3 linked regions of the Nothobranchius furzeri genome follow. Each later gene encodes a partner of the first gene's protein in a complex. Links are inferred from orthologs where the notes say so. Each region holds a gene or a part of one and is shown in the gene's direction. Other genes may lie near its edges.

Region 1 (9,908 bases):
ACCGGGTCGGCCCGGGCCGGGTAGCGTAGGTTGTTTACATATCTGGGTGGCCTGGTATTTTTCCGGGCCAACCAAGGCTCATTCTCAGCCCTCTTCTCGAGGGGGTCTGCTTCAGGCCGACCAGGGCCAACACACCCACTGCTGACAGCAAATTCACACCTTCCATTAGAGCAAGCCTCTGATTGGTGGGTAGAATCAGACCACATGGGCTTAAGACAAGGATGTGTGGAATCAACCGGGCCAGGCTGGGGCCGACTGGGGCTACCCGGCCCGGGCCGACCCGGTACAGATGGGAATAGCCCATTAGATTCCTCACCAGCCCTGCCCACAAAATCCAACATGGCAGCCATGCAGTTAAAAAGGGGCGATAACTTCGCCACAGCAATCAACTTTATTTGCACCATCAGGCGCTTTTCCATTGTTGGAACTTCAGGGGAAATTCTGGATGGGGAAATTTACCGTGAGATACGACAGCATATTGTGACTGCTTCGGCAGGAAGTGACGTCACTGATCAGCGCCACAAAGCATCCACAGTTAACTCTTTCACTGCCAATGACTTAAGTCGTCATTTGCATTTTTATTATTTTTTTTTACTGTGTGGGTGTCGGAACGAGCCCCCGCACCGTGAGAACGAACATCCAAGCTCTAAAGCAGATCTTCATCCACGTACGTCACACGTCACGTGATCAGGAAGCAGAAAACCCATGTGTTAGGAGATCTTTTTGGGCCGCTACTGTAAAAAAAAAAGTGAGGCGCGAACCGGAAAAGCTTCTGACGATACTTTGGACGTGCCTGAAAATGTCCGTTAAGTGGAGACACGCACATGCTGGAAAGTTCCTGTAAATTTATCCTGAAGTTCCGACAGTGGAAACGCACTTGTTAGTTTGGAGCAAGGCTCTCCACTCTTTGTTCTCCAGGTCCACTATCCAGCATGTTTGAGTTGCTTCTCTACCCCAACACACCCGATTCAACCGTTGCATCAGGTGTTCAGCAGGTCATGAAGATCTGTACAAGCCTGATAATCTGCTGATTAAAATCAAGTGTGTTGGAGCAGGGAAACAACTAAAACATGCTGGATAGGGGGGATCTTGTGGACTAGGCTAAAACGTCTTAGCGCAAAGCTAACATTTAGCTTGGAGTTAAAAGTTTGCAGAAATGGTATTTAAAGAAAAAACACAATCTGCATTCTGCACCTGAAAACCACCACGTATCACTTAAATAACAGCAAACTAGCTTGATGGATCGTTTTATAAGTGGGGAGGCAAGTTCAAATACTAATTTCCCTCCCGTTTGAGCCACAGCTCTCAGCTTATCAGTTTCATTGTGCTTTTAAGTTTAATCTTTAAAGCTCTGAAACTAGTTTTTTACTTAAAGCACTAAAACATCATTAATGCATAATAATGAAATTACTAGAAGTTTTGCAGCTTTAATTCCAAAAAATAATAATTAGTAATGGTTCACTTGTGAACTCCTCGTCAGTCTGGACTAATTATTTTATCACACAGCTTTTAAAAGACTGAAGCCACATCCTTCCTGTTTTTCGTAACATGTGAGCATGCTCCTCATGGGGTTTGCACCCCGCAGCGCTGATGCAATCATGTGCTCCGGCACCAGTGCACTGCAAGCTGCTTGCTCGGAAACGTTATCCTGCCAATCGTACATGTAAATCCTGTTGTTTTTCTCTCAAAAAACTGCTGACTCTTGGTTTTTTTTCTCCTTGCAGCTCCTTCCTCGGGTGCAGGTGAGTAACTCAGCCCTCTGAACATGTTTTTCAGACATTTCTACCACTACTTGATGGACTTTGTAAATTAAACTTCAATTTTACAAACTCCTCTACACTTCACAGACCTCTTTTTTGTCAAAGAACTCAAAATAGATGTGTTTATATTCTGTTTTTATAAGTCAAGGACAATTCTTCTTATTTGTTGCCCAATAAAATAATAAAGCTCTTCACCTTAAACACAAACTCAGAGTAGTTTGCTTTAGTGAGAAACATTGTCTACCTCAGGTTAGAATTATTGTGCGTGTGCGTGTGTGTGTGTGTGTGTGTGTGTGTGTGTGTGTGTGTGTGTGTGTGTGTGTGTGTGTGTGTGTGTGCGTGTGCGTGTGCGTGTGCGTGTATGTGTGGTGGAAACCCTTCTGCTCAGAGTACCTCCGTAGCATCTCCCTGCCGGTGCCGGTGGTGGTGGAGGACACCAGCAGCAGCAGCGAGTATGGCTCCGTCTCCCCTGACAACGACCTCAACACCAACCCATTCATCTTCAAGCCCAGCGTCAAGTGCTACAGCGAGAGGGATGTCAAGGGGCCCAGGTCCCTCTTTCTCAGGTAGAACACTTGAAATGGACAGAGTCGTGGCTGCTGCTTGCTGCAGACGAGTTTCACGCATAGCCTCACGACTGTGAAACACTAAACCAGTTGTCAGTATAAAGGCCAAAGCAGGTTTATTTCAGATTAAGGTCTGAGAAGTCTTTAACAGTGGATTTTCTAATGTAAAAATGATACAAAACAGCAGAAAATTTTGTTTTTGAACAGATTTACGAATTACGAGCCATCTAACTAAATGTCCATAGGTGTCCTTAAGACTTTTGCATATAATAAAAGAACGCACTAAACCAAACCGCCGACTATTTATCTCAGCATTCCAGTGGAGAACTTTGAGGATCACAGCGCTCCTCCGTCTCCCGACGAGAAAGACACAGGCTTCTTTATGCTCCGCAAGGACAGCGAGAGGCGAGCCACGCTGCACCAAATCCTGACCGAGGACCAAGACAAGGTTGTGGCCAACCTGATGGAGGCCCTCACACAGGTTGGGAATGGAAGAAACTAACAGGAGGGCCAGGGAGACGCAGTGTTAAAATCTTCTGTGGTTCTCTGACCTTCAGGGCTCTGAGGAAATTAAAGTAAAACCGCAGCACATCTCCATCCTCGTAGTGAGTCTGGCTGACTTCATCCGCATGGCCGACAGGAAGATCATTGCCAACACCTTGTCTCAACTCAAACTGGACCTGGACTTTGACAGCACCGCCATCAGCCAGCTGCAGGTCATACTGTTCAGCTTCCAGGATGCTGTAAGTTCATCACTACAACAGGGAGGTTCGATAAATCCTCCTCTAATTTTCCCTTCTGGGAATAATCAGTCCATTGAAATCCTTGAAATGACTTTAAATAGCACCAGATTAAAACCCAAACATCACTCCTCCTCCATGCCTGAGTCATGTGACTTCCTGTCTGTTACATCCCTGTAGAGCTCTGGGTGTTTTGTTGTAAATGTTTTACGTCAGGCAGCAGAAGCCTGTCTGTTTCCTTTTCCTCCTGCGCCGAGATAATAAAGTAAAAATGATTCATAAGCTTTAAGAAAAGAGGTCTTCAGACAGGAGGAACTGCACATTCTGCAAACAGGCTCATCAGAAATGCTAAACGAATAACATAAGAGAAAATGGTTGTTAGTGTATTGCATAATCTGAGGTGGGAAAATGGAGTTCTGACGCCCCCTGCTGGTCATCGATGCACCCAGAGGATTTTTTATGTGTAGTGCACGACTACTTAGACTTGTAAATATGAAAAGTTTGTTTTCCTTTATGTTTATAGGTGAATAAAGTGCTACGAAACCACAACATCAAGCCTCATTGGATGTTTGCTCTGGACAACATCATCCGTAAAGCAGTGCAGACCGCCATCACCATCCTGGTGCCAGGTAGTATCATCCATGTTTAGAGCAGAGCACCTCTAAATGAATTATCCCTCCCTCCAGCCCTGGGCCAAACTGGCAGGATAAATCCAGGGATATGAAGAGGGAAGAATATAGAGCTAAAATGCATTATAGATGCATACTTTTTGCATGCTGGCTGTGGTTTTTAGAAGTATTCCTTGGCCGACGCCACGACTCTCACCTGAGTGTTAAATTGTTCATTAAAGTGTTTCTCTTGGTCACGTTATCTTTGATTTAAAAAGTTGTATTTTGCACATTTGGAAGTATTTGCAAGTTTTTATCCTTGCTTTGAGTAAAGTTATAATTAATTACAGATTAGCCGTGGTAGATGGCTTCCTGAATTGCCTCTGTTTGGAGAAACAGATTAGCATCCGTTAGTAGAGATAGTCTTCTTAGTGTAATTATTTATCATCCTAAAGTAAGAAAATCTCTATATTTTTTAAAATAGTGATATAATTTCTAACAAAAACAAGATGACCAAGTAACATTTATAACAATATACAACCGATGAAATGCTAGAGTTAGCAGGCATCGCTACCACTAGCTTGCATGGTCATCCATTGTTGCCCATCCAGTTGATGTTTGCAGACAAAACTTAGAGAAAGTTGTTGTCAACATTAAATGTGTGGTTTACTCGTTTATTCAATACATTTGCAGTTTTCTCTAATGTAAATCAATGCCTTATGAGTCATGAGATGCAGATGTTTGCTGGTGAGGAGGTGGACTGAAAACAGCAGAATTGCTCATTATTATTAATGATATGCACACACCTTGCTTTTAATTGGCTAACAGAACGTGTTCAGCCATGTTGCACAGGCACTATCACCAACACACTCTGCTCTCTCTCTTTGCTGCAAAAAAAATTTTTTAAGCCTTCCAGTGGGCAGACGTGAGTCAAGATGGGAGAGGCCATGAATGCAAATTCACAGTGTGACATCACAGTGTGAGGATTTTCAAATCCTAGCATTTCACCATCTATTTTCTATCAGAAGCTAACAGAGGAGATTAGTGTGGGAGATTGTTTTCATGTTCAGCCTGCATGAAAAACTCAGTGACCGATTATAATTAGAAATAGTTTAAAAAAAAATTCAGTCAACCACACCTTTAATCAAAACCTTTGGGTTAATATTATGTCCTAACCTTTACACTCGGCCTCACAGTTATTGATTTTCTGGGGACATCCGTTCATGTTTCTGCAAGGTTTTCCACCGTGATTGTCCATGTTGTCGTTCCTGAGTATGGTGTCGAGTCGGGCCAAATCCCCACTCTTAATCAGCAAATGGGTACAGCAGCTAAAATACCTAAGAAACGTACCTTTCCCTGCTCGCTGTCATGAGTGAATATTGTGAGATTCGTGCCTTGTTTGCCTTTCCAACTTTAATAAAGCCACGCTGTATGGCCCACATGAACAGAATCCACTGCATAGTGGATACATTTACATCATGGTATCATCATGATAGGTTTTTTCTAAGCAAGACATAATTACTAGTGGTATTGTGAATGACCTGATACACCCATCCCTAGGTTGAATTTAAATTGTTGTACATGAATTATAAATATATATTAAAAATAGTGCCTTTGTTACCTTTTTGCCAGCTTTTGATACAGCTCTAACAACTTGATAGATAGATAGATGGATAGATGGATAGATAGACTCCATGTCCAGATTAAATTACAAAAACCATAAACAAGCTACATAAAAACACACTTTAAAAAAATGTCGTTTCTTATGGTTCCAACAAAGATGATAAAAAGCTACTTGTGCCTTAGACAGCTTGCCAGTGTTTCCAAAGCTCAGACTGATGGTGAGCGGCACTAAGGTTAACGTTTAACAACTGAATCAATATATGTTTGATGCATTTAATCTGCTGATGAAATTCTGTAGACAATGAATCACATCTTGAAGGGGTTTAACTTGTAAACAATTTACAGGAAGAAAAATATTGAGACAAATATCATAAATCAGAATTTTGCTCAAAGATACTGGATTGTAAGTTCTGGTCCATATGGCTCAGCACTACTTTTAAGTAAAACTTTAGTTTCTCACACTTCCTACTGGTTGGAAACAGTATTGCAATTGTTGCAACCAGCAGCCTGCTATAGCTAGCGCTAAAAATGAGCTAACGCTAACACAAGACTACTGATACTAAAAAGGCCATGAAGTAAAAAGATCAACACTTTTGGACAAAAAATGATTACTCACAAGTCCATTAGCAACAAAGCCAGGTCACCATCAGGCCGTGATGTTGTAGCTTCCTTTAGCTCCCTCAAGCTAGTGTAGGCCACGCTGATGTTCACTCTGGTTTTTGCTCTTTGCGCCACTTCCAAAGACATTAGTCTTTTACTTTTAAGTCCAGGTGTAGCACATTTCAAATTATCATCGTAGGTAAGGAGGAAGACTCAGGAGACACCAGTCTGGATACTGGAGACATTGGTGCCAACCAGAACTCTGGGCAAACCTTTAAAACAGTGGCAGAAGGCACAATTTAGTAATACAGCTCTATTTAAGTGCTAAAAAATGTAGGAAAAAGTACATTAGCACTATTCAATGCATTTTTACTGACAAAAATTGTTCTGATTCATATTCCTCGGTCATTTACATATTTTCACAGCTTACCAAGTTATTTTTGTGTTTTTAGCATTTCATTTTAAGTATCAGAGCTTAAACAGGTGCTAATTTAAATCAAAAGAAAAAAAAGAGGACCTCAGTTTACCAGCATACAGGCTGCTTATCTCAGCTAGCAGGCTGTGCACATGGCGAAAGTGTCTGTGTAACACTAATTATGCCCCCTGTGCAACAGTTACCAGAGAGGAACTATAATATATCAGCACCACTAAATGTATGTATGAAAAAAATTTAACGTTACACAATGACCCAAAACCATAGATGACATAAAAAAATCATTACTGAAAGTTTTGTGAAGGTTCATTTCACCAACCAGAAATATAATCGTGCAACACAGGCTCCGCCATGATGCCAACAAAGAAGGAAACAACTTCTTCTTGTGCTTTTTTATTGGCTGTCTGCAAACTGAAACAGCTAACTGCTGCTAGCTATTATATGAGCTATCAGCAGAGTGAAGAGCTGTTGCTGTAAAGCAGGTAGAGACTTTTTCCACCGGTGCCAACCAAAGCCATGAAAGTTGTTAAAGTAACAGTGAGTAACCTGTTCTAACTCAACAATCAGTCAGACCAATGTTAAAACTATCAGGTGTTACTTCAAAGGCAGTTTCTGGTCTAACGTTAAGTTACTCAAGTCTCTGGCTTAAGAACCACTGGAACCAGTTATAAAGCAATAGCTCAAAGTGTTAAAAGCTGGCACGTTCATTCATTCAGTTTAACTGTATTATCACTCATTGAGTTCATCTTGTATTTACTTTCTGACTCTTTTTTTTTAAGCGTGACTATGTGTGTGTTTTCAGAGCTGAGGCCTCACTTTAGTCTGGCCTCAGAAAGTGACCCGGCCGATCAGGATGACATTGGCGATGACGTTGAGCCTTGCAGGAATTCCAACCACCAGAGTCGTGCGCCCAACATCACCGCTCACGACGACACGGTGGCCACCTCGGGAGTCAGCACACTCAGCTCCACCGTCTCCCACGAATCATCCCACAATGCACAGCGCTCTGTGAGCATGGAGCTGGGCAGGATGAAGCTGGAGACCACCAGGTAGACACTGTTTTATGCCCACTGCTTCATGATTCACCATGCTTTTTTTGTTCATGTTTGGTCATCTGTGGAATAATTTCAGGCTGCTAGAGGAGCTGCTGCAAAAGGAGAGAGAGTACCAGGCCATCCTGCAACAGGTGCTGGAGGAAAGAGAGCAAGAGATCCGACTGCTGAGGATGAGATCTGAACCTGCAGGTCTGTTCTTTCATGATTTATTTGTTTTTAGACACTCCCTAGTGGCCACTTTTGGAACTGCTAGTTTATTTATATTTTTTTTTTTGTGCCTTAAATGGTTTCCTTAAAGATCAAACTAGATGCATACGTTTTTTATTATTTATTTTTTTTATTTTTGTGCATATATTTGCTGGTGGAAAATTCTGATTATTTGAGTCTTCATTTCTATTAAAGATACCCCTGCTACATCAGAGGACCTGCAGCATCCAAGCGGCCAGTCCGCAGAAAGACACGAAGACCCAGAGCTGACCAGCTGGCTGAGGCTCTGTGGTGCTGACCAGAACTCTATAGACATGGTGAGTTTCCCTCGTTCCCAGATTGGAACATCGAAGCGGTTACTGCCGTTTGATGACTGGTTCCATAATAGCGTTTTCTTTTTGTGTCTCTAGATACTGACCGAGGAGTACACCTTGAATGACATCCTACATTATGTGACAAGAGATGATCTGAAGAGTTTAAGACTGAGGTAGTTAAACAATAAATACATTTAATTTTTTATTCTTTATGGAACAGTTTCACTTCTGTTCAAAGTCATACACCTGAGCAGTACAGGAATACAGAAGTGAAATATGCACACTTTAACTTTGTTTCTTTGTATTTTCCTCATTGACATGTATGATAACCAGACACAGAAGTAAAAAGATGGAAATTGTGGTCAACACCATACAGCAACCTGGGCTTCTGTTGCACCTGAGTGTTACCACTGGCCTCTGTCACACTGCAATGATGCAGGAAAATGTTGATTGCACAGAAATAACAATACCTTTTCAGAAACCTGGCATTTCTCTTTAAATTATCATTTTTGATTTGCTTACATATAATATTCACAATTTCTGAGAAATTAGAATTTTGGGTATAAGCCACAGTCATCAAAAATACGAGAATTAAAGGCTTGAAATATTTAAATTTATATGGAAATAATCTTTATAATATAAAAAATTCATGTCTTAAAATGAATGACACAAAATATTAAACTTTTTTCAAAAAAATGATCTAATTATTTTAAAGTAACACAGAGCAGTTTCCTGCTCCTCTGCCCTAGTGGTTGAAAATGGGATTACAACTATTGAAAACAACCGTGCTGCAACCTGCTGTAGCTAGCGCTAACAACGAGCTAAAATGAGCAACTAATACTAAAATAAACCACAAAGTAAAAAGATCCACACTGTTGGACCAAATATAGTGTTACTTACAAGTCAAGTAGCAACAAATCTAGGTCACCATCAGTTTGTGATTTTGTAGCCTCCTTTCGCTCCCTCAAACTAGCGTAGGCCACGTCTATGTTTACTCAGATTTTAGCTCTTCCCCTCCAAAGACTACTCTCTTACTTTTACTTCCAGGCTCCGCCATGATTCCAACAAAAAAGCAAACTTCCTTCTTCTTGTGCATTTTACTGATAATCAGTAAACTTAAAATGCTAACTGCTAGCGTTACAGCTAACAGCTGTAAAGCAGGTAAAGAGCGCCCCCTAGGACACATACCCATGCCACAAAACTGTCTAGTGCTCTTTTTGGCCAGCAGATGGCTGCAGAGTGGTGTCAGATATGAAACTAGTCAAGTTTGTTACTCAACAATCACTGAGATCAATGTTAAGGCTCTAGCTTAGTTAATACAATTTAATGTCACTTTAATCAATCTGCATGTGTAAAGAAAAACATAAAGATGAATGTTTATTTGGCACCCCTAGTGGGTATTAAATGATGGAAGCGCTTACATTATCTATATATATATAAAACTCAGAAGACAGAAACACTATTTTATCATGTTTTAAATATAACTGAAATAGTTACTTCCTGCTTTATTGTAACCGCCTCTTTATTGGTTGATCTTGCCAGGGGTGGAGTTTTCTGTAAACTATGGAAGGCCATCACAGACCACAGGCAGAAGCTGACCTGAAGCCTTAAGTGGAAACGTTCCCTCCCAGAAGCCAACCGTTCGGGATGCTTTTGGGTTTGTTTGTTTTTTACCTCAGTATTTATAGGAACAAGACTTTCCGGAGAAGCGCTCGTGTTTACTGTAAGCACAGGGCCGCTTCACAAGTCTGCAGGAGTATTTTGTCATTTAAAACACATATTTTGGATTTCAGATGATTTTTGAAACAACAATTACTAAAAAGTGCCACAAGTTTGTTTTATGCCTGTTGGATATGATGCATTTTTGTCACAGGCGTGTTTAAAAATACATTTGATGTGGGGAAATAACTGAATCTTGTCAAATAAGAAGACACTTTTTTCTGTTTTTACAAGATATAACGTTTACCAAAATGGGGGCAAACCATTTTCTAACAAGCCTGAG
Region 2 (10,662 bases), on another chromosome or scaffold:
GCGGAAAGAGCAGAGGAGGACTCATCATATTACAGTCCATAATAAATATAATAAATATTAGAGAAACGTTTAAACAACACTCATCTATTAATGAGTGCAGACGCTGCAGGACTATCTCCTCTCTAACACACGGAGTGAAATTCTCTGACTCCCGTACAGGAAAACAGTTTAATTTATAAAACTGGAGCTAACATGTTAAGCAAAAAAGCAGCTGAGAGTTTAAGACGGTCTCTAAAGTTGACAACAAGCTAGCCTAGCAGGTCTCCGTGAGAGGGGGAATCTCCGTGAATGAATTAATACCGGAATATTTTCGATGAATAATAATTCAGGTAGATGGCGGGAACAAGGAGGAAAATAGTTTACAGTTTTTAAAACAGTTTCCAGCCCAAAGCAGAAGAAATAAAAGGTGTGAAAGTTTTCAGTTTATTCACAGGATCAGTAGGGCCGGGGGTAAACGATTATTTTTAAAACGATTATTCTGACGATTATTGAGTAGCCGACTAGTCTAATGACTAGACAATTAATCTAGTGATTTTTTTTATTGCACAGTTAATAAAAACAAAAAAATCTCAAATAAATTCCTCAAAAAAATTGATAAATTTTTACTGTAAGAGAATAAACACTACAGGCCTTCCATTTTGTATAACACTGCTTTTATTTTGTTGGTTGGTTATGTTCTGGTGACATGTAGAACTTAAAGAGTGCAGGCTGTTGCCTGAGAGGTGGTTGGAGACAAGTCTCCATACTGCTTTGTTTTGGTCACTTATGTGCGTGAGGCGAGTGGTGTTACGACCCTTCCTGGGGAGTTTGGCTCATGTGCAAAAAGGAAGGGACAATAACACGGGATTTAAAAGTTAAAATGATGATCAGGTTTATTTACAACTACAAAAAAACATAAATCTTTCCATCTACAGGTTGGGAATAACAAAACTAATTCTGCCTGTCTGGAATTAAAACAAATGTACAAATAAGTAGCGATGTCCCACTGGGCAAAGATTACTGGGTTCTGGACCAAAATAAGGATCTCCAAAGGTCCAAACTCTAAACTGGGTGGTTAAACCAAACTCAAGGTGATATTTTAACCTAAACCCGAAAACCCACAACACTAAATGTAATAAAAGGGAGATCTGCACCACAAAAAAGATTAACTCTAAACCAAAACGTAACCGCTTATCCAAACGCAAGAAGCTGTTAGCAAAAATGCTAACAGTAGCTTTACCAACGTTAAGTTCAAGTTACCAAGTTTAAATAAACCAAAAACACCCAGCAGCAAACAGACCAGCACGGAGGAGAGACTGCTACCACCAAACCAGCTCTCCTAATGTCTGAAAGAAGCTCCTTTATGAAGGGAGAAACGCTCCCGGTGATGTTCTACATCTGCGGTAGAGACGAAGCAGCGCATCTGACCCCGGAAGTTGTTGTCCTTGCCGGGAGACGAAGACGGGCAAAACAGGAAAGGAATCTAGTAGCGGACGGACGTTGTTCCGGGTCTTCGGTATTTGGCGGAGATGTTAGTGAAGGCGGAGAAGAAGGCGAACTAGAAGAAAAACAGGCAGATTCCATCTCTATTTACAAACTCCTGGGGATGCAACAAGTGGGCGTGGCGCGTCGACTACCGGATCTGACGTCGATGAATTTTTAGAATCGAGCCGTCGACGCTTCGCTACAGCCCTAAGGATCAGTATTACATCACAACTCCGGTGCTCCTGGTTTCGGCTCCACTGAGTGTGACTTCTTGTCTTCTGCGCATGCGTGTCGCTTTGTGGCCGCGGAGCGTTCACACTGGAGAGAGTTTGATGTCTCATTTCAGTCATAGTGTGAACGGCCACAAAAAAATTTAGATTCACTCCAAAAATCGGAATTGAGTACAAGGCCTGCAGTGTGAACGTAGCCTTAGTTTCACAACCATCGTGTTTTTTTAGAACCCCGCTTCATTGTGAACCTGATACCCACTAGCATTAGCTAATCTGCCCAAACTTTGGACTGTTTCTGCCTTTGTGTCTTACATGCTGGTTTCTCTGTTTTCCTCCACAGCACCTAGATTAGCACATTGTGCGCCAGTAAAAGGCACCTTTCCTACACAATCTAAAGCAACTTACCTTGTTCAATAAAGGGGAAAAAGTAACTTGAAAAGATGTCACACCAGTGCCATGTCTAAAAATAGTTTGTCGCACAGAGTTTTTTTCATTGCACGTGAGACATATATGTTGCACTGTACAGCCCTGTCTCCTATTGCACCTTTAAATTAGCTTGGCAAGTCATCGTAAATATATGGCCTTCCCACGACCCATAAACTGAGCTCAGTCGTTGGGCTCAATCTATGGTATGGGTGACAGTGGCACAGGAGTTAAGTGCTCGCCCCGTAATTGGAAGGTTGCAGGTTCGAGCCCCGCTCAATCTGTCGCTTTTGTTGTGTCTTTGGGCAAGACACAACCCACGTTGCCTGCTGGTGGTGGTCAGAGGGACCGGTGGCGCCGGTGCTCAGCAGCCTCGCCTCTGTCAGCGCACCCCAGGGCAGCTGTGGCTACATCGTAGGTCATCCCCACTGGTGTGTGAATGTGTGTATGTATGGGTGAATGAATGACTGTGTTGTAAATCGCCTTGGGGGGTTCCAGGACTCTAGAAGGCCCAATGTCAAATACAGGCCATTTACCATGTGTCTTTAAACCTGTCTCCACATGCAATATACAACGCTAGCACCAGTCAGTAAGCTTAGGCGGTATCCACATTTTAATACATCCAACTTCCTCCACATTTGACCACTTTTACTGGGACTGATTCAAAAATGATGTTAGCCTCAAGTGGAATTACCAAACTGTTCATTTGGACTTTTGCCGTTCAGAAATTGTATAACCAACACCATTACTAAAAAATAACATAACGCACATAATATTATTGCAGCATATAGAAAGATTATTTGCTTAAATAACCAGATTGTTTACCTTTTCTGGCTTCAACATAGGATGTTGTAGAACGACAGCTGAAAACTCCCTTCGATGAGCTTGTGGCACAGACATACGGGTACTTAAGGGCTAGTTGCGACATCTGGGAAAAACTGGCAGCTTATTTTCCACCAGAAAAGTGTCTCTTTTAATAACATATTCCAAACAGAAGGTTGCTATTTTAGCTCCGGATCGCTCCTGTGCTGACGGGACCTACGTCTTTAGAGGTTGTCTTTTATTTAGCTCAAATGATCTCTTCAGTGTTTAGAGGCTCTTCTTTTAAGTTTGCTTTGTACCTGAAATATTCCCAAACAGCATAAGTTGTTCTTTTTAGACACCCAAGTGGACTTCTCAGCGTGATGACATAAAAATAAAGTCATCACGACATCGTGAAGACTTTATGGAACATCTCAAAATTTGGACACATTGTAAACCATTTAAAAGAACTGTAAATTCAACCACTCATCTGTTATATACATTTACATAAGTTACATTTATTTATCTTTATTTTTCTTAATCCTTGTCTCCTACGTGCAGTTTATTTTTTTCATGATGGTATTGGAACTGACACGGTTTCCACTCTACAACAGCAGACTTGTTCATGCTGATCCAAGCTATTCAGGGCTTTTTTGCCCTGAGGGCTGCTTGCAAGGCATTCATTTCTACCAGAGGCCACTGCAAATATATTAAACCAGTTTCCCACACCTATAAATATCTTTGTTGGCACTTAATATTTGGTTCTTTTTGAAGTTTTTGAGTTGTCTAAAGCATAAAAAAGAACAAATGTACATTTTTTTCTTCAATATTTTTCAGGTGCTGATCCAGCTCTGTGCAGGTGCTGGATGAATCAGAACTGGAGCAACTTAAAGTGGGAAGAATTCAGGAGTTCTTTAAAAAAAAATCTTATTATTTTTTAATAAATATTTTTCAAAGAGCAGTGGTGTCAAGTTATTATGTTTTTTAAAATATTGTTAAAATACAGTTTATGTCTGCCTTCAAAATGTATGAATGTTTTAAACTGGTTTTGTAAAAATTATTTTAACGGACCAATAAGAGGTAGGCCTAGATTGTTTTTATGGTCGGGTTTAGCAAAGTTGTCCCCATCCTGCAAATGTAAATATTCATAAAACTCATAAACACTGAACATACCTATTTTGCTTTTATTTTACATGCTCGCTAATTTGACTGCGTTATTACCAAATACACATTTTTATTCTGGATTAGGTTTCCCCTCTTGCATGATGTGATGAACACCAAACATATTAGTTTTCTGAGCCTTACTTCCTGTGATAAAGTCAACTTGCAGGAAACGTGTTGTTGAGGTTCCTGTATACCAGTAGGGGTGATCATCAGTTCTGCGTCCTGAACTGCGTCGCCTCTCCCCCCACACAGCCTTTTTTTTAACTTGCAGAAGTGCGGATGTGAGCTGCATATTGATACCTACGGAACAGGCCGCCAGTTTTCTTGTAGCTATGCGGGCTTAAGCAATGGTCGTTCTGCGGAGCTATGAATCCCGAAGAGCAGACGGTAACGTGGTTGATATCGCTGGGAGTGCTCAGCTCGCCCAAGAAGAACATAGCGGACCCGGAGGAGTTTCTGAAGACATCACTCAAGGATGGGGTCGTCCTGTGCAAGCTCACGGAGCGGCTCATACCTAGCTTCACTCCCAAGGTGAGCTGCTGATTTATCAAGTAAATGGAGAATGATCAGCAGAGATTTGGAAATAAGGGAGGGGTTTGATGAAAGCGATACCGACAGGAACTTCTTGCACTTCACAGGCTCAGCTTTCTGTTTGCGAGCTTAGAGTTTCAACAGCAAACTTAGTTCTTTCGCGTAGTGAGTGTTGCGTTGGATAACGGGAGCATCTAGTGAGTTTACTGACGAGGGGTTTTCAGTAAGTGGCTTCCTGTGAAGAGATAAAATGTTACGCGTTCTTGATCTGAGTGAATAGGTCTATCAAGGCTGCACTAAACGCCCCCTGTTAGGGGTAGAATGGACAGAGGGTTTAATTAAAGTCACGGAATTTGGAATTGTACTGTGATGCATGTGTATTTTAATGTTAAGTCTGGCGATAAGAAAGTTGATAGTGATAACAGTTGCAAATTCAGGTCGTCACTTCCTCTTGAGCGGCTGCTCTTCCCAGTGTGTACGACCTCCCCAGAGCAGAAGACAACCGGAAGTTGCTGCTTCTGCTTTACTCGACTCACTCTTTTTAGCTAGTTTCGTATCTTTACTTTTGTAGTTTCATGTTAGACTCAATAAAAAAATTCCGGTTAATTCTAAAACCAAATAAGTATTTCTTCTTCTAATGTCTCAATCACCTCGTGCTCGTCAGTAGCACAAGGCGGACTTTTATTTTGAAGGGCAGTGCTGGGAGCGGATGTTTTGCTTAAATATGGCTCTTGGCGTTTCACTGGGGTTTATGGTTATGTCTGCATGAAGGAGACGCACGAAGAACCAAGCACTGTTTCAGATCACGAGCTCACCATTGTTGGAATGCCACTGCATCGTTATTATAATCACAAATGGAACTAAAGTGATGCTTGAAGCGGTTTAATGTGTGTGTCTGATGACTGTTTGGCACACTGAACCGATGGACAGTCTGTGTTTATAACGTACTTATTCCGTGTGTTCAGTATTGTCAGGATCCCAGAACTGAAAGCGACTGCATTTCCAACATTAAGGAGTTTTTAAGAGGATGCTCGTCCTTGAAAGTTGAGGTGAGTTGACTCGTTTATTTTATTAAAGGTGTGTAATTATGATAATAACATAAGTTTTTTTTATCTTCTTTATTCATCCCTGGCTATTGCAGTTTTCAGAAATATTTGTTAACCATCTTGAATGTGTTGTGATCTGCTAAGCACGCTGACATATGGTGTCATGTTTATATGGATCATGGTAGGGAACTCACTCTAAACTAAAAGAGAAAGATAATTGATTGCATCACGCTGTATAAGAAACACAAACACGAAGTTTACTTCCTCACAAACTTCTCTTTTACATTAAAATGCAAATGAATAAATGTTTGGGCGCAGGCTGAAAGCTCTCAGAGACATCTCTAACTAGCCTGGCCAGCATGCCTCCTTCTGTGTAGAATTAAACAGAGGACGAGACTGGCAGGCCAGGCTATCTCTTAACTGTCCTGGGTTGCAAAAGTATGTCCTATAGGAGAAAGAGTTGAATCATTTGCAGATGTTAGGAGTTTCTTGGTTATTTTACCAGCAGCTTCCACAGTGGACATTAATGACGTTTCCAGTGTTATAAATAACCTGTTTTGGTTTTGAAACACATCACTTGGTTTCTTTAAACAGTTAATTGAGTCAGCAGGCTTGGCTTGCTTTAGTGGTTGAGTAGTTCTGTCCAGCTGGGTTGTTATGTCTGGGAGGTCCTGTTAGCTTTTACCCGCCAGCTCCGCTTTAGCCCATAATTAGACCTTCTGCCACCAGTCAGTAGGTCAGTGGCAGATGTTTTCTGAGACGCTGTTGAATGTGTCAGCCAGAGGATGTCTGTGTGACTACTGGAGCTGGCCCTTACCTCAGTGATTATGGTTAAAGTATTTCTATCTTTTTTTGCTATGGCATTAGTGGCAGCTCACTGTGACTACACACACACACACACACACACACACACACACACACACACACACACACACACAAAAGCAGATATACTGCTTTCACTTCTGCTCTTAGATAAACAAAGAGGAAGAAGCACCGATTACTGATCAGGGCCTGTTTATTCACTCTGTGCTCACATTTATGATCGTACACCTTCACTGACATTTAGAATTGTATAGCATACTTTACTGCTACTTTCATAATTAGCATATTAATACTGATTAGTAGCCTTGACCTGTAATCTGTTTTACACACACACACGCACGCACGTTCGTACGTACGTACGTATGTATGTATGTATATGTATATATATATATATATATATATATATATATATATATATATACATATATATATACATATACATACACATATATACATATGTGTATGTATATGTATATTTGTGTATATATGTAATGTGTATATATGTATATAATGTATAATGTATGTATGAGCTTGTATATACGTATATTTTTAGTTTTTTCAGTTTTTGTTACAAAGTAAATTTTCTCTTTCTCCACCATTGTGTGTGCAATAAAGAACCAGAACTCAGATGTGTTCCTCTGTTTGAAAAGGTCTAAATTTGACTCTAGGTTCAGCCTCTTCCAGCTCAGATGATCGGGATACGTTTAGGTTTTTCTGGTCTGACTGCATCTTCTCTGATGTTTTCTTCCCCCCAGGGTTTTGAACCAGAGTGGTTATACACTGGGGAGAACTTTGGCAAAGTCCTGAGTACTCTGCTGGCAGTCAACTTTGCCACACAAGGTAACAGCTTTGCATTTTCTCTCTGCTCTGTTTAAAACCATTTGGTCGCCCACACCTAAAACATTAGCTTTGGCTTTAGTGCACATTAGCCACTGAATTGTTTTCATACGCTATCACTAAAAGCTGGCTCGTCCACGTGTGACAATGATGTCATGGTTTCTGAACTTCAGTTTTAAACAAGTATTGTTGTTTCAGTAAACGAGAAGCTGCTGTCTGCATCACTAAAGGTTTCATATTGTGTTGACAGATGAAAATGACACCTCAGAACTTCTCAGATGCTAAGCTCTCACCTGTTCTTAGATAGATGGTGATTTGAAAAAATTGGTCAGTGTATATCTTCTTTAAGTGTCATAACTGTACCAAAAGTATGCACCATTAATAAATGTCTTTAATTGAAATGGTTGACCAAATATACCAGTTTTAATGGAGAATGCCTTGAATGGTGTTTGGTGCATTGTGTCCGAGCCCTGCTGAAGATCTTTTCTCATTGAGCTCTTTAAAAATGTGGATCGACAGCTGGCAGAGCAGTGTGTGTTTGTGTCTCGCTGTGTTGCAGGTGTTCTTGAGCAGTTTTTTCACTGTTCCTCAAACAGTGTCCCATGATTGTTTGTATGTATAATACTGGCTGCATGGTGGTGCAGTGGTTAGCACTGTTGCCTCGCAGCACGAAGGTTGCAGGTTCGAAACTCGGCTCAGCTGCGGCCTTTCTGCGTGGAGTTGCGTGTTCTCCCCATGCATGCGTGGGTTTCCTCGGGGTACTCCGGTTTCCCTCACAGGTCACAACATGCCCTATAGGTTATAAATTGTAAGTCGCTTTGGATAAAAGCGTCTGCCAAATAAATAAACATAAACAAACTGTTGCTGCCTTGTCCTGAATTATTGTAGACGTGCTGAGAAATCATCAAGCGTTTAAAGGTGAGAAACGTATTCTTTTTGAAATATGATCAGTCACTGAGTTTCACGTGCAGGCTGAACATGGAAATCTCCTGTATTAGACACTTAAAGCAAATAGACGGGGAAATGCTCAGAAAACGTTTGTTTGTTTGTTTGCATAACATGAATATTAATGAGAATACTCCAAATCCTGCCGTCCACCCCCTATGCTCGGACAAACTTTTTACCCCTGAAATGGAGGTGCCAGAGCCTTTCTTCCACAGAAAACCACCCAAAAGGCATTCATTCATACTAGAGAGACCACAGCACATGTATTGAGAAAATAAACAGATGAGACCTTTTAATCTTTTTTCAGTATTTGCCTTGAAATGTATAATTAGTCATGAAATTGGTAAAAACAGTTAAATCAATGTTTCAGGGCTGCATGATGTTACCTGAGCCTTACCTTGGAAAAATGTTACATTCATCAGTGCCCAATTTATTAAAACTGGAATCCATTCCAGTGTAAACTCTGATGGCGTGGGTTTGTATTCAGTGTTGACTACCAATCGATATCCAAGTGTTTCACAGGCTACAACTTGCAGCTGCTCTGCTGATCTTTATAAATGGATTAGTAGCAAGTTAAATGATGCAATCCATCATAAAACATTGTTTTATTGTCATCTTCATGTATTTTGCTTCACGTCTTTACTCAAGATGTGTGTTTCATAGATTAAATGTTCTGAATGTTGTCAGCATATGAAAACATGGTATTGCTGGACTTCACTGTGTGAGGGGAGCCACACGTGGTGTTCATGAAGCCCACCTGTCACTGTTTCAGTGGTATTGTACAACTTCAAGCATGATCGGCAATAACAACTTTACATATGGAAAACACCAGCGCCTCTCCTGCTTTCTCCATTTTGAACATATATCAGGTTCCTGTTTTACTGCTCATAAATGCAAATATGCTTTAGTCCCTGTCAGTTTTATTTCCCCACAGCTGGACTCTTTATTTGATCTGAATTTAAGGGCCATGAGTCTAATTGTTCATCACAGCCTGTCTTTATCTTCTGTGATCTGAGCAAGAATTAGACCTCAGATTTGGATTTAGTCCAGTTGGCTTCTGATAGGCTCCCTTCTGTGAGGACTTCTGTTTGTAAGCATGTGCGAGGTTTGTAATCCTGCCATGTGTCACTTTTTAAATGTATCCTGGCAGCAGACAAGATGAAAAGGACCTGTCCATGTATCTCTAGAGCTACAGGACTCGGTACTGCAGGACAGCTGGCAGCTACTCGTCCTAAATCAAAGCTCCTCTGCTGCAGTGGATGAGTGATGTTACTGCATGGAAGGGTTGAGCATCTGCAACATAAATTACATTCTGCTTTTCATCTTGTATTTGTCAGAAATCAAATTTATATCAGGGATAGAGCAAGGGAAGAGGGGATCAGAATATGTTTGGAAAGAATATACGTGGAAACAACTTGGATGCTGCTTTAGTCAACTCTGATGCACTTTTTATCTGAAAGCTGTAAGCTGTTGTTGTTTTGATAGCTACTTGTTTATTTTTGGCTTATTATGTCAGCTTTGGTTTAATCTGGCTGCCCTGAGAGGAAAGATGAATTCATAGTCTGTGTGTTTTCACCACCCTGGGGCTGTACAGAGCAGCTGACCATGCTAACATGAATTATCATCATATTGTTGTCCTCCAAAATAAGTCTAACTGCATGAGTGCATTTTTAAGGTGCTGCTATCTGCTCAGAAACATAAATGCATGATGTGTTTGTGTTTTTCTTCCGTATCTGTAGACTGTTCTGCTGAGAGATGTCCTCAGTCCGGTTCATCCTCTCCTAATCAGGCCACGGCTTCACACACTCTGTTCTCCGCCAAATCCAAAGGGTCTCTGCGAAGACAGTCCAGATCAGTGGTACGGTCTTCTCTTCTTGTCTTTTTTTATCCCAGTTTTAAAATTAGTTTTACAGCATTTACAGGCAATTTAAATACAAATGCTCAAAACGGTTAAGGATGGAGTCCGGACTAGATTGTCTACGATGTGTAGCATACATCAAAACACTTCTTTTTATGGCAAATAAACTTGTTTATTTGAAGGATATACTGACTAACTTGCAGATACAAATAAAAATGAAACACTCTGGTAAGTGTTCATTAAAGAGCAAGTCACCCCCTACCTGATTCTTACTCCACTCACACTTTCTGTTTGAAAAATGCGCTGAAAGGAGGAGGTGTTGCCTGGTGAACAAAGAGGACGTCGTTGAGGCAGTGATTGACAGCACCCTTGTGCGTGCTTGGAGTTTCTCTTTTGGAGAAATGAGTCATTAACACACACACGCAGACATGTCCCTCAGTTGGAGGTGCAAATAGAGAAACATTATTTTCCCTCCACCTTGTTCTCTAGAAGAAAGGGAGGGACGTTTTTTTTTAAGAGGCAAAAAGCTCTGAGCTGTATT
Region 3 (10,372 bases), on another chromosome or scaffold:
CCTATTCCCTGTAAGCCCCTCCAACCCAGACCGGACCACCCTCCCTCACTCGAGCCGTTATGCATAAGACCTTAAGTCCTCCAAACCCACAACCTCCCTATTGTTGTTTTGAACTGGACCTTAAACTGCCTTTGTCTGCAGATTCCCGCACCAGATCCCTGTCGGAAGAACTCAGCTTGCTGCTCCTTTAAGTTGTCTCCCTTAATAAATTATTGTTAAACTTTCGCCTTTGTCTGAGAACTGATTCTGTATGTCGTGGGTTAGTCACTTACCTCACAACATGACATTCAGGGCCTTAAACACATGTTGGGTCTAGAACTGCAACCAATATTGCAATTACAGATAGAGGAAAAAATCAAAGTCAAAAAGTCTTATGCAAATGATAGTTTTTTGTAAAGCAGAGCATGAAAAATAAGTTGTCGGTTACGGTTTGATCTTAAATGTGTTCCTGTCTGACTCAAGCTTGCTCCATGAGGTTTTTCCTGATTTCATCACTTACTGAGTTTACTGAAGATTAAAAAAATGTTTAAAGCATAACTCAAAGGAAATCAACAACAAAAAAATCAATCTCATGTTATGCAACTTGTAATTTAAGATTTATGATCAAAAATCAAATGTCATCTGAATGCAAAATAAACAAAGCAGTTGACGTTCTAAAACTTGCCAACTGACCTCTGCAAACCAAATGAGAACCTGGTTGCAGAGCAGCAATAATATCTCCACTGAGTCATGACCACAACCTCTAACCTGCATCAGCATCTTTGATCCTTTGTGTAAAAACAAAGCTAGACCCAATTAAACCTTGACACAAATAGTTTAATTTCTTGTTAATCAACATGAGAAATAAACTGTCAATAAAACACAAATAAGAGCAGATTAATCCTTTTTACAACAAAGATGGAAGCAAAAGAAAAGGTAGTCCTGATGTTCAGAGAGCTGACTCTGGCTTAAAGGATTATCTGTGTTTCAGCTCCACAATTTCACGTTTCAAAAGTTAAGTCCGTCAACGAGGATCAAACTTTATTATAAAGCCATCAATGTAAAAGTATTCCGCTACCCAACAAGAAATGTTAAAATAGAAAAACACTGGAAAGGATGACAGAGTGGGAGAGGACACCATGACTGAGGGACAGTCATTAAATCAATGCGGACCATGAGTGAAAAAGACAGTGCCCTTGACAGTCACTTTGATACGCTGCAACTCCACATTAGTATGAAATCAGGGTCTACACACCATAAAATCACCAATATTTTATGTCATTGGAAGGAAAATAGGGATTTTATCTGACCAGTTGAGAAAGACAAGAAGTTCAGAGAAACTGAAATATGACAATAATACCTTAATTTAATGATATACAAGCTCTAAACTGTGTTTTTGTAAAACTAGACAGACAATTCAAAGATGGGCAATAAAGTCACAAAATAAGCCTGTAAAACCTCTCTGCACTTCTCTTCAGTTGTGTTGAAGTTGATCATTTTCACTCCCTTAAACACAGTTTAAAAAACTGGTATTACTTGAAAAGTGAATTAGCCACCCTGTGTTTATTCTATAAGGTAAACGTATCCAAACCAACATCCAGAACCATTAAAACAACCATTTGATCACATTACAACCTAGTCAACCATGTCTGACAACAAATCCTAATGGGTTTAAATCTTAAGCGTTATCACAAATACACATAAATGTCACACACACCGGAACTAATATGATATATAAATCAAATCAGCAGGATAAACGACTCGGAGAATAATCAGATGTGCTGCGTTTGTAGAATAAACCAAACGAGCGCTCTCGCCCACTCAGCTCTCCAACTCCCCGCGCGCAGATTTTACCTTCAGTCTGTTCATCTGCTTCTTGCATCCTCGAATCCACATTGAAGAGATGCGTGTTAAATCCAACTCATCGTTGGAAGAAAACACCTGTAAGTGACGACGGAGCGGAGCCGCTAACCTGATTTACAAAGACTTTCCCGAGCGCAGATCCTGAGAGGAGCGCCGAGCATTTTCCCCACATCCGGGTGCCTGGTGTGGATTCACGGCGCATCCGAGAGGACGAGCTGTGAGCGGCGGACCAGTCTGCTGTCAATAAGTCTCACCGTGGACTGATGACAAGTTCCAGCAGTAGAAAATAAAACAAGATTCTCTATAAAGGGTTTAATTTTCCTGATTATGATCTGGAATCGTTGTAACCAATCAAAAATGTCAAAGAATTTATTTATTTATTTATTTATTTATTTATTTAAAAATTATTATTATTTGCCGTTTTTTTTATCCTTGTGTCAAAGATCAGCCATCTTGGGTCGCAGTCTTCAACAAAAAATATCTGATTTACTTACTTCTTTTAAATAAAAACATGCATGTCTGCAGACACATGCATTTCTTGGTCATCACCTTGGTAATAAACTGTATGGTTTGCCCTGTCTGACAGATAAAATGTACTAAATCTTTGCGCACTGTCTGGACTTACCCCTCAGGTGTCTGCCCCTGATAATAAACCGCATTCTGTCACCTGTTCCTTCTTCGAGGCCTCATAGCGCCGATCTGTGTGTTCATTCTACGGCGATTCGTGAGGGAATGGGTGGTTTGGAGCTCTGATGGAATGATAGTGATTGGATTACCTGCATTCAGGGTAAAACAGATTCACGGTAGTGCGTAATCCTTAGATTATAATCCCCGTTCCCTAAGCATGAGAGATAGCTGCATGCACCAAAGCTAGGGTCAAATAATAAACATGATTTTTTAAATAGAATTTTCAGACACTTTCATTCACTTATTAGCAGTTTAGGATTTGAATAAAAGGAAAATCTAACTTTGACTTCATAACAAGGAAAATAATGCAAGTTCTTCTCAAATAGGTCTGAGTAATAAATCTGAAATTATAAACTGCATTCATAAAACCATGTCAGGCGTTGTGAAATATTGTTCTGTTTTTGCTTTCATTTTCTTTCAAGATTAACAAAATATATACCAAACAACTTGGGTAAATAAAATGATCAACAATAGAAATTTTAGGCGTAAAAACACAAGTTAAAATGAAAAAAACCATTGTGATGTGTACATATTTCCATGAAACTTGAGGTAGGAAACATATTAGGCTACATGAAATTAACATTATAATTGCAGGCTTTTGCATTGCAAATAGCTACTGAACTCAATTTTAATAATAAATAACTCCAAATTTTGATCATCCAATGAATGAGGTGTGAACAAGTTGTTAAAATAGGTATCTATTTCCGTGTTTTTCTGCTTCACAGTTTGTTGCACATTGCTAAATATTATTTTGGTGGAAATTAAATATGTGGGTTAAAAGTTTATTATCATTTTTATATTTTAAGAAACCTGCAATCACATGAAACTTTCTTAACCCTCTGGAGGCAGGCGCTGCAGATTTGCAACAGTTAAAACCTACCTAACTGGTTACTCCACATACGTATTTCATGAGCATTTTTTTAACTCAGATGTATCCCTGAAAGACTTAGTTGTTTGTTCCTTTATCAAAACTTATTTTGAGCCTGAGAGGGTTAAATGCCTAGAGTATACACATTACATGTATTCCCTTAATTTGAACTGGCTTGCATAAAAGTCCAAAAAAGTTTGAAACTTGTTTTTCTAATATCTCAAAGGATGACATTATGTGTAGGAAATAAGCTTCAACTTCAGTTGGCAAACTACCTTTTCAAACTATGTTCACATTGTTGTGGGTTTGGTTTCAGACATATTTTTTCTGCATTTTCTCTCAGAATTTGCAATTACATTGTTTTTATTATTATTATTATTATTATTATTATTATTATTATTATTATTATTATTATTATTATTCCCCGCGGAATTAAAAAAACTCCTCTGGGGAACCTTTTCAGTGGTGGGATTTCCGTAAATACCGGAAGTTATAGGTGTTTGCAAAAATTCGTCCGTGCGGCAGAAAATCATAAGCAAAGATGGCGATTAATGCTGGACATCTGATGAGTTTAGCTGCTTTGCAGAGACACGATCCATACATTAACAAACTGCTCGATGTTACCGGTCAGGTTGCTCTTTACAACTTCAATTCAAAAGCAAACGAATGGGTAAGTAAGAGAATTTACCCTGGAAAAGTTTCGGGAAATATTTGGTGGAGAGCCAACAAAGCTAGCTTCACACTTAGCTTCTGAGCTTTGATTCAAAACAGAAAATATTGTTGTTGTTTTTTTTTTGGGGGGGGGGGTTGTTTGTTTGTTTGTTTTGTTTTTTAAGTAAATGTCTTTATTTGTTTAGTTAATTAAGATAGCGTTGTCTAGTATGTTGTTTTAACGCGAACACAATTAATGCATCTTAGGTACTTTCTAATTGTAAAATTTAACGCCTTATTAGCTTTCAGTTAGCTTATCACCCTCGCTAAATTTATTTAGCTAGTTTGGATTTGCGGTTTCTAGGTTTGAGTCGTTATCTCTATTTGTTCCAGGAGAAAACCGAAGTTGAGGGAACCCTGTTTGTTTATGCAAGGTAAGAATACCTGAGAGCCACGATGGTTGTTCCGCCGTCTGCGCACGTGAGGCCTTGAAATTTGTAAACAAAGATAAAGTGGACTCTGTGATTCAGTAAATCGAACGTAAATTACAGTGTTTAGAGATTGAAACTGAAATATTATGTTATAACGTTGTAATAAACTTTATTTTTAATCAGTTAAAGCATGAAGAACTAAAACGACCACCTACAAACTTTAGTTATAAGGAAATATAATAGACTTTATTAATTTTGTGGGTAAATTCACTCGTTACAGAAGCACATACACTTAGAGAATAGAAGAAGAAAAATAACAAAAGTACCAGTAAATACACAAAGGCAAATCTTTCTGTTAAAAAAATAAACAGGACACGAATTTGTTGTAGGTTACTTTGAATTGGACTGGGAGCTACTTAAATCAATAGTAAAGTTAACTGCTATCCTTTATATTAATTACTAGCACAGTAAACAGCTCCTGCTTTTTAGCAGGTAGAGACCTCCCACACTTGTGCCGACCCAAACCATAAAACTGTTAAATGTAGTTTCTGGTCAGCAGAGGGCTACTGAGTGCTGTCCCATGTGAAGATGTTCAACTTTATGGCTGAAGAACCACTGAAACCAGTTTGAAGGCAATAGCTTAAAGTGTCGAAAACTCTTTAGTATTGCTTTAAATGGTCAATTAAAAACAATCAAATGTGGAGTAAATATTGTACCCAAAGCAATGTGAAGTGCAATTAAGGAGGTAATGTTTTTCCTGGGTCCTTATGAAGGTCTGCCTCCCCTCACCATGGCTTCACCATTATGAATCGACTGAGTGCACAGAACCTTGTTGAGCCCATAAATAAAGACCTGGAGTTCCAGCTGCAGGATCCTTTCTTGCTCTACAGAAATGGAAACTGTGAGTGTTTTGAAGGAAATGAAACACTAAAGAAGTATTTTTGAAATATGTTATTTTTTCTGTTGTATTTTGGTGTGTTTGTGGTTTTGTTTCAAGGTGACTTAACATTAAGGACTTGTTTCCAGCACAGAAAAAGTGTTTAATAAATCTGTAAACATGTTTAATGACTTCTGAACCAAAATGAAAATACATTTCCTCCTAGTATAATAGCTTATTATTATTGTTGCTTTGTTAAATTCTGTTAGTCACAAAATGCTCATTATTTAATAGAAATTTCTGCAATTTTGGCATTTTCATAATTTTCCTATTTGAAGCATTAGTGATATCTTCACTTTTACATACAAATGTGTGTATTAATTATATTAACTAGCACAAACACTATTATGATCCTTAATTATATTAACTAGCATAAACACTATTATGATCCTTAATTATATTAACTAGCATAAACACTATTATGATCCTTAATTATATTAACTAGCATAAACACTATTATGATCCTACCTGTGAAAACAATAGACAGATATCTCCCCAGCGTTCGATGGAACACCTCTCTTCCATATTGCTTGAAGTCATTGTGACGTCTTGCAGCATCAAGCAGGAACACTTTAGCACTCATGGCCCAAAATGGCCAAACAGCAACTTCAGCTTTGCTAGTGAACAGTTATCTTTCTGCATTTGGGCAACCGTCTCAGAGTTAAGTCTCTGATTGGTGAATCCGACCACTAAGTTAATCCAGCGATGTCCTCCAGCCTTGTGACAGAGCAGTGTAACAAAAAGGCCGCAAAGTTTCTCAAATCTTCAAAAAGTAGCTGACTGCGCTGCCTCCAAGGTAATCTATTAGAAGTCTGAAGAGAAGCTTCATCAGGGCAACGAACAAGGAGTTAGAATGCTTTCCCATTTGTTTGCTTATAAGGAAAAACAGCATAGCCAGGGTCAAAGTTAGAGTCGACGGCTCCCCTTTTGGAGTTGGTTTGCACATCAGCCTGGCTGGGATCGAGGACATGATGAGGTTGGTATCCCAGTAAAACCAGCTTCTCGGATAACTTTACTTTAGCATGTGTGCTAATATTGTTGTTTGGTGGAGTTGCAGGAAGATAATCTTCAGGTTTCTCCCTGGCAGCAGACAGTCCCTCGCACACACACAGTCCACTAGATCTCAGTGTGCTGACTCGTTCTGTAGCCTGTTGCTGTAAAGGTGTGGCTGTATGAGTTTAGATTTCCCAGCTGTGATCCTGAAAGCGAGAGTAGTAGAAGAAACGATGAAGACTGAGCTGGCATAAAAGCAGGATCAAATAAAGAGCACAGGTTAGACACAAGTACGGTTAAATCTTCAGAGAGATGGTGATGATTAACAAATATATGAGTGTTTCTTCAGTCTCCTTTGAGTGCTTGTGAGCTTGCAGCTCGGGGCTATAGACTGTTGGAGAGAGACATACTTGTTTACATGGCTTCATATTCCCTTTGGTGGCTGGAGATGCTGCAGGGAGGCAAACTCTTCAGTTGCTAGGTAACCACAGCCTCCCTGGGGGATGGTATATTCACCAGTGTGTTGGTGCAATCCAAAATCACATAAGTGATGTGGTAACAAGTTAATGTTTCTGTGAAAAATGTAATATTTAATCACTAAATCATTTTTGGTTTGTGTCAAATTTGATGTTATTTTTTTCTGTTCTCTATCTGCTGCTTGAAACAAAGATGCAAATCATGCAGAACCGAGTCCTTGACACAGCTCTAAACAGCTTTATTCAGTCATCACCCTAATTCTGTGCTTTAATCGACAAATTGTAATTTTTCAGTTTTTTAGGCAGCTAAAAATGTGTTCTTTGTTTTGTTTTTACAGTGGGAATCTACAGTATTTGGTTTTATGACAAAAAGGACTGCCAACGCATCGCTCAGCTGATGGTGAAGTAAGTAGGTCAGCACATCCATGCTGTGTTTGTGGATATGGTTTTTGGGGAAGTTCTGTAAATAATTAGAAGTATTTCATCAGTATGTTTTAACTTTGCTCCAGGATTGTAAAACAAGAAGTGGACCACGCCAAGAGGAGGAGCCCAGAGAGAGCAGAGGCAGGCAGAAGCAATGGAGTCGCAGAACCGCGGCCCATCGACATCCTGGAGCTGCTCAGCAAAGCAAAGGAAGAATATCAGAGAGTAAGATTTTTAAAAGATGTTTTAGTTTTTCTTAAAACACCTGATCACTTTGTCTTTTTGTCTTTTTCTGAAGACCCAGTCCGGGGAGACAGAAGTGTCTGCAGAGGTGAGCATGAAAGCAACAATCAGTGATGATAAAGAACACAACACACTTGAAAAGATTCATTATGAGTTCTGTTGTTTTTATTACGTCCTTTAGAGGTGATGACAGAATGTAATAAAAGTTTTGTATTTGTTTGATGTTGACCGCAGAAAAGTTATGTTGTTTTTTATTATGCGAAAAGTGGTTTAATCTTTATTTTACTAATTACTTCCTAATTTTATCTGTTTATAAATGATGTGTAATGGAACAAATATAGAAATAATAGAAATTAGAAATAATAGAAATTAGTTGTAATTTTATATAAATACTTATATTTATTTAAGTTATTTGTCATTTTTAAAGTAATAATGGTGGGAATTGTTGATTTCTTTATTTGTTCTGTTTTGGGCCCTGTTCCTTGGTGATTTTGACGTTTTTCTTTTGTATTCCAGATTTTATTAATGTCTCAAAATTAGCATCTTAGAGATAAAAATCTTTTTCAGAATTTAAAGATGTCACAATCTGCAGCAGATTGTTGTAAAACCATCGATTGCTAAAGTTTATAATGGCCAAAACTCATCATTTAGTTAAATACTGATTCTAAAAAGGGGGCAATGAAGGTGATTCTCAAATAAAACATGATCATAAAATAATTTATAATTAACCCTCTTTTTTTAATGCAGGGCTTTCATACGATGGTGAAGCAGATCACAGTAGAGGAGCTCTTTGGTTCTTCTCTTCCTAAGGAACCCTCTCTAATGGCCGCGCCTTCACACAACAGCACAGCTTCCACTGATCTTCCTACTGCCTTTGTCCAGAAACAACCTTATCCGCCCCAGCAAAGTCCATGCATCCCCTCTGTCTCCAACCACCAGCAGCAGAAAGGCTCCGCCCTAATCCCAGCTCCTTATGTGCTGAATCACAGTCCTGTTTTCCACTCGGTGGTTCCGAGGCAGGACCCCCAATCCCAGAGCTCCATCTCCTCTCTTATGATGTCTCCATCTGGATCTGAGCATCTAGCTACTCCGTCTGGGCCCATAGCTTCTCCAGTCACTCCCAGCTCCTTTTTGGGGCAGGATCTAGTTGGCTCGCTCAAACCAGCTGCATCGTCTGTGAATTCAGGTGTTCACAAACCGGTCCTTGCACCCAGCTTCCTGCCAAGCGCTCTGGTTCCACCTCATAGCTTCCAAGAATCCAACAAAGAGGTTTTCTCTCAGCCTCCTAGCCTGATAAACCCAGTTCCTGTGAGTTTGTTAGCTGGTGGCTTTTTGTCTCTATATCTTTCTCAGCTGGTTATCCACAAAATTTCCTTTTGTCTCTGTTCCCAGGCTTTCCCCGTGAGTCCAGCTTTAGCTGTCCCCGTGTCAGAGATGTCTGTGCTTCTTTCCCCCAGCGTCTTTCAGCAAACCACGAATAAGAGCACATCAGCACCCATGGTGCCTCCTGCTTCCTCTGAAGCGTCCTGTGCCTCTGGACGGGCTGTAGAGTCTCTACCCTTCAGTAAAACCCAGCTACAGGACACTTTGATACACCTCATTAAGGTACAGTTCCGAGAGGCAAAGTTTCATCTTTGATGCTCAGAGTTAAAAAGAATGAGTTGAATTTAAGCTGAATGATGGTTGTTTACTTCCTTCTTGTCTAGAATAACCCAGAGTTCCTCAGTGCCATTCATGAGGCGTACCTGCAGAGTGTATCCAAGGACCTGCGCAACATTAAGCTATAGTCCCACCCCACTGATGATGTCACTGCTGCACCCATGTGACCACAGAAGAGACTATTATTGAGCAAAGATGAGCTGAAGTTTGATATTTTAAGCCGGTTTGAACTGGTTATACTAGGGAATGTCATGGAAGTCTTATCAAGGCAAGGAGTGTATCTGGTTAAGATATGTAAACACTGAACTGCTGTTCCAGTTGATTTTGTGTACTTTTCTTTTTTGAAAACAGTATTTTTTTACCTTTTTGTATAAAAACGTCCGTTCCTGTGCAGACAGGCAGCTAAAAAACTAACGTTTTGTTTCTGGCTGCTGACTAAAGCATTGTTATGCTTCTCAGACTCACAAAAAAACAAACAATATTTTGTTACTATTACTCGTGTTTTTTCTACCTTTTGCTTTTCTTTCAGTATTATTATGACTCCTCCACTGGCTTAGCTCTCGGTGCTTTTGGAGAGTCTTGTGCCGTAAATAACCTTTAGGGTGATAACCAGCGTTCAGGGTTGCACAATGGCGTTTATGTAAACGTCCGAGTTCAGAGGAGCTATGAATTTTAAAAAATCCTTTCAAATTAAACATCATGAGCTAAACTTATATAAGTGTTGTTCCATTAGAATCTATGTTATAACATTCAGTCCTTATTATCACATGTGGTCTGATGTTACTTAGTCAGCTACACATTAACCAAATTAAAAGTAAATAAATTAGCTTCAGTCCTCTTGTTTATCCAGTCATATTTAAATCTCCAATAATTTTATTTTTGTTTAAAGCTTTTCGGGGGGGGAAAAGCACAATTGTTTTTTTTTTTTACATTTCAAACATTTTCATTCTTTTAGAAAAATTGTTTAAATGCAAAAATGTTTTTCTAGTCACAAATCATCAAGCATATTTCATTAAATCAGCTCTGCTCATTTGCTCCAAAGTCACTAATTAACAAGAAAAAAAAATTTTGAAGACTAAAAGATTTTTTTTTATTTTATTAAAAAAAATTAAATAATTTCAAGCAAATTTCATTATAAATCCTTATTTTGACATCATGACTG

What was found.
Region 2: map3k5 (region 1) and arhgef6 share a complex: the UniProt entries of both Homo sapiens proteins name them as parts of the cytoplasmic complex. The link is inferred for Nothobranchius furzeri from reciprocal best matches to the Homo sapiens genes MAP3K5 and ARHGEF6.
Region 3: map3k5 (region 1) and dcp1a share a complex: the UniProt entries of both Homo sapiens proteins name them as parts of the cytoplasmic complex. The link is inferred for Nothobranchius furzeri from reciprocal best matches to the Homo sapiens genes MAP3K5 and DCP1A.

Annotation. Positions count from the first base shown.
Region 1 is NC_091742.1:11,439,621-11,449,528, reverse strand, and holds the end of map3k5 (mitogen-activated protein kinase kinase kinase 5), read left to right. Parts: intron 1-1,724; coding exon 1,725-1,742; intron 1,743-2,148; coding exon 2,149-2,326; intron 2,327-2,638; coding exon 2,639-2,807; intron 2,808-2,883; coding exon 2,884-3,069; intron 3,070-3,589; coding exon 3,590-3,695; intron 3,696-7,132; coding exon 7,133-7,379; intron 7,380-7,461; coding exon 7,462-7,574; intron 7,575-7,787; coding exon 7,788-7,909; intron 7,910-8,002; coding exon 8,003-8,079; intron 8,080-9,448; coding exon 9,449-9,509; 3' UTR 9,510-9,739; downstream 9,740-9,908. UniProt on the Homo sapiens protein: Serine/threonine kinase which acts as an essential component of the MAP kinase signal transduction pathway. Plays an important role in the cascades of cellular responses evoked by changes in the environment.
Region 2 is NC_091741.1:83,151,830-83,162,491, reverse strand, and holds the start of arhgef6 (rho guanine nucleotide exchange factor 6), read left to right. Parts: upstream 1-4,306; 5' UTR 4,307-4,448; coding exon 4,449-4,613; intron 4,614-5,578; coding exon 5,579-5,662; intron 5,663-7,236; coding exon 7,237-7,321; intron 7,322-10,002; coding exon 10,003-10,121; intron 10,122-10,662. UniProt on the Homo sapiens protein: Acts as a RAC1 guanine nucleotide exchange factor (GEF).
Region 3 is NC_091755.1:32,992,285-33,002,656, reverse strand, and holds the start of dcp1a (mRNA-decapping enzyme 1A), read left to right. Parts: upstream 1-3,899; 5' UTR 3,900-3,938; coding exon 3,939-4,067; intron 4,068-4,441; coding exon 4,442-4,482; intron 4,483-5,252; coding exon 5,253-5,380; intron 5,381-7,223; coding exon 7,224-7,290; intron 7,291-7,394; coding exon 7,395-7,533; intron 7,534-7,606; coding exon 7,607-7,639; intron 7,640-8,298; coding exon 8,299-8,859; intron 8,860-8,943; coding exon 8,944-9,156; intron 9,157-9,257; coding exon 9,258-9,338; 3' UTR 9,339-10,372. Other genes in the region: cacna1db (voltage-dependent L-type calcium channel subunit alpha-1D), read right to left, coding at 1,834-1,861. UniProt on the Homo sapiens protein: Necessary for the degradation of mRNAs, both in normal mRNA turnover and in nonsense-mediated mRNA decay. Removes the 7-methyl guanine cap structure from mRNA molecules, yielding a 5'-phosphorylated mRNA fragment and 7m-GDP.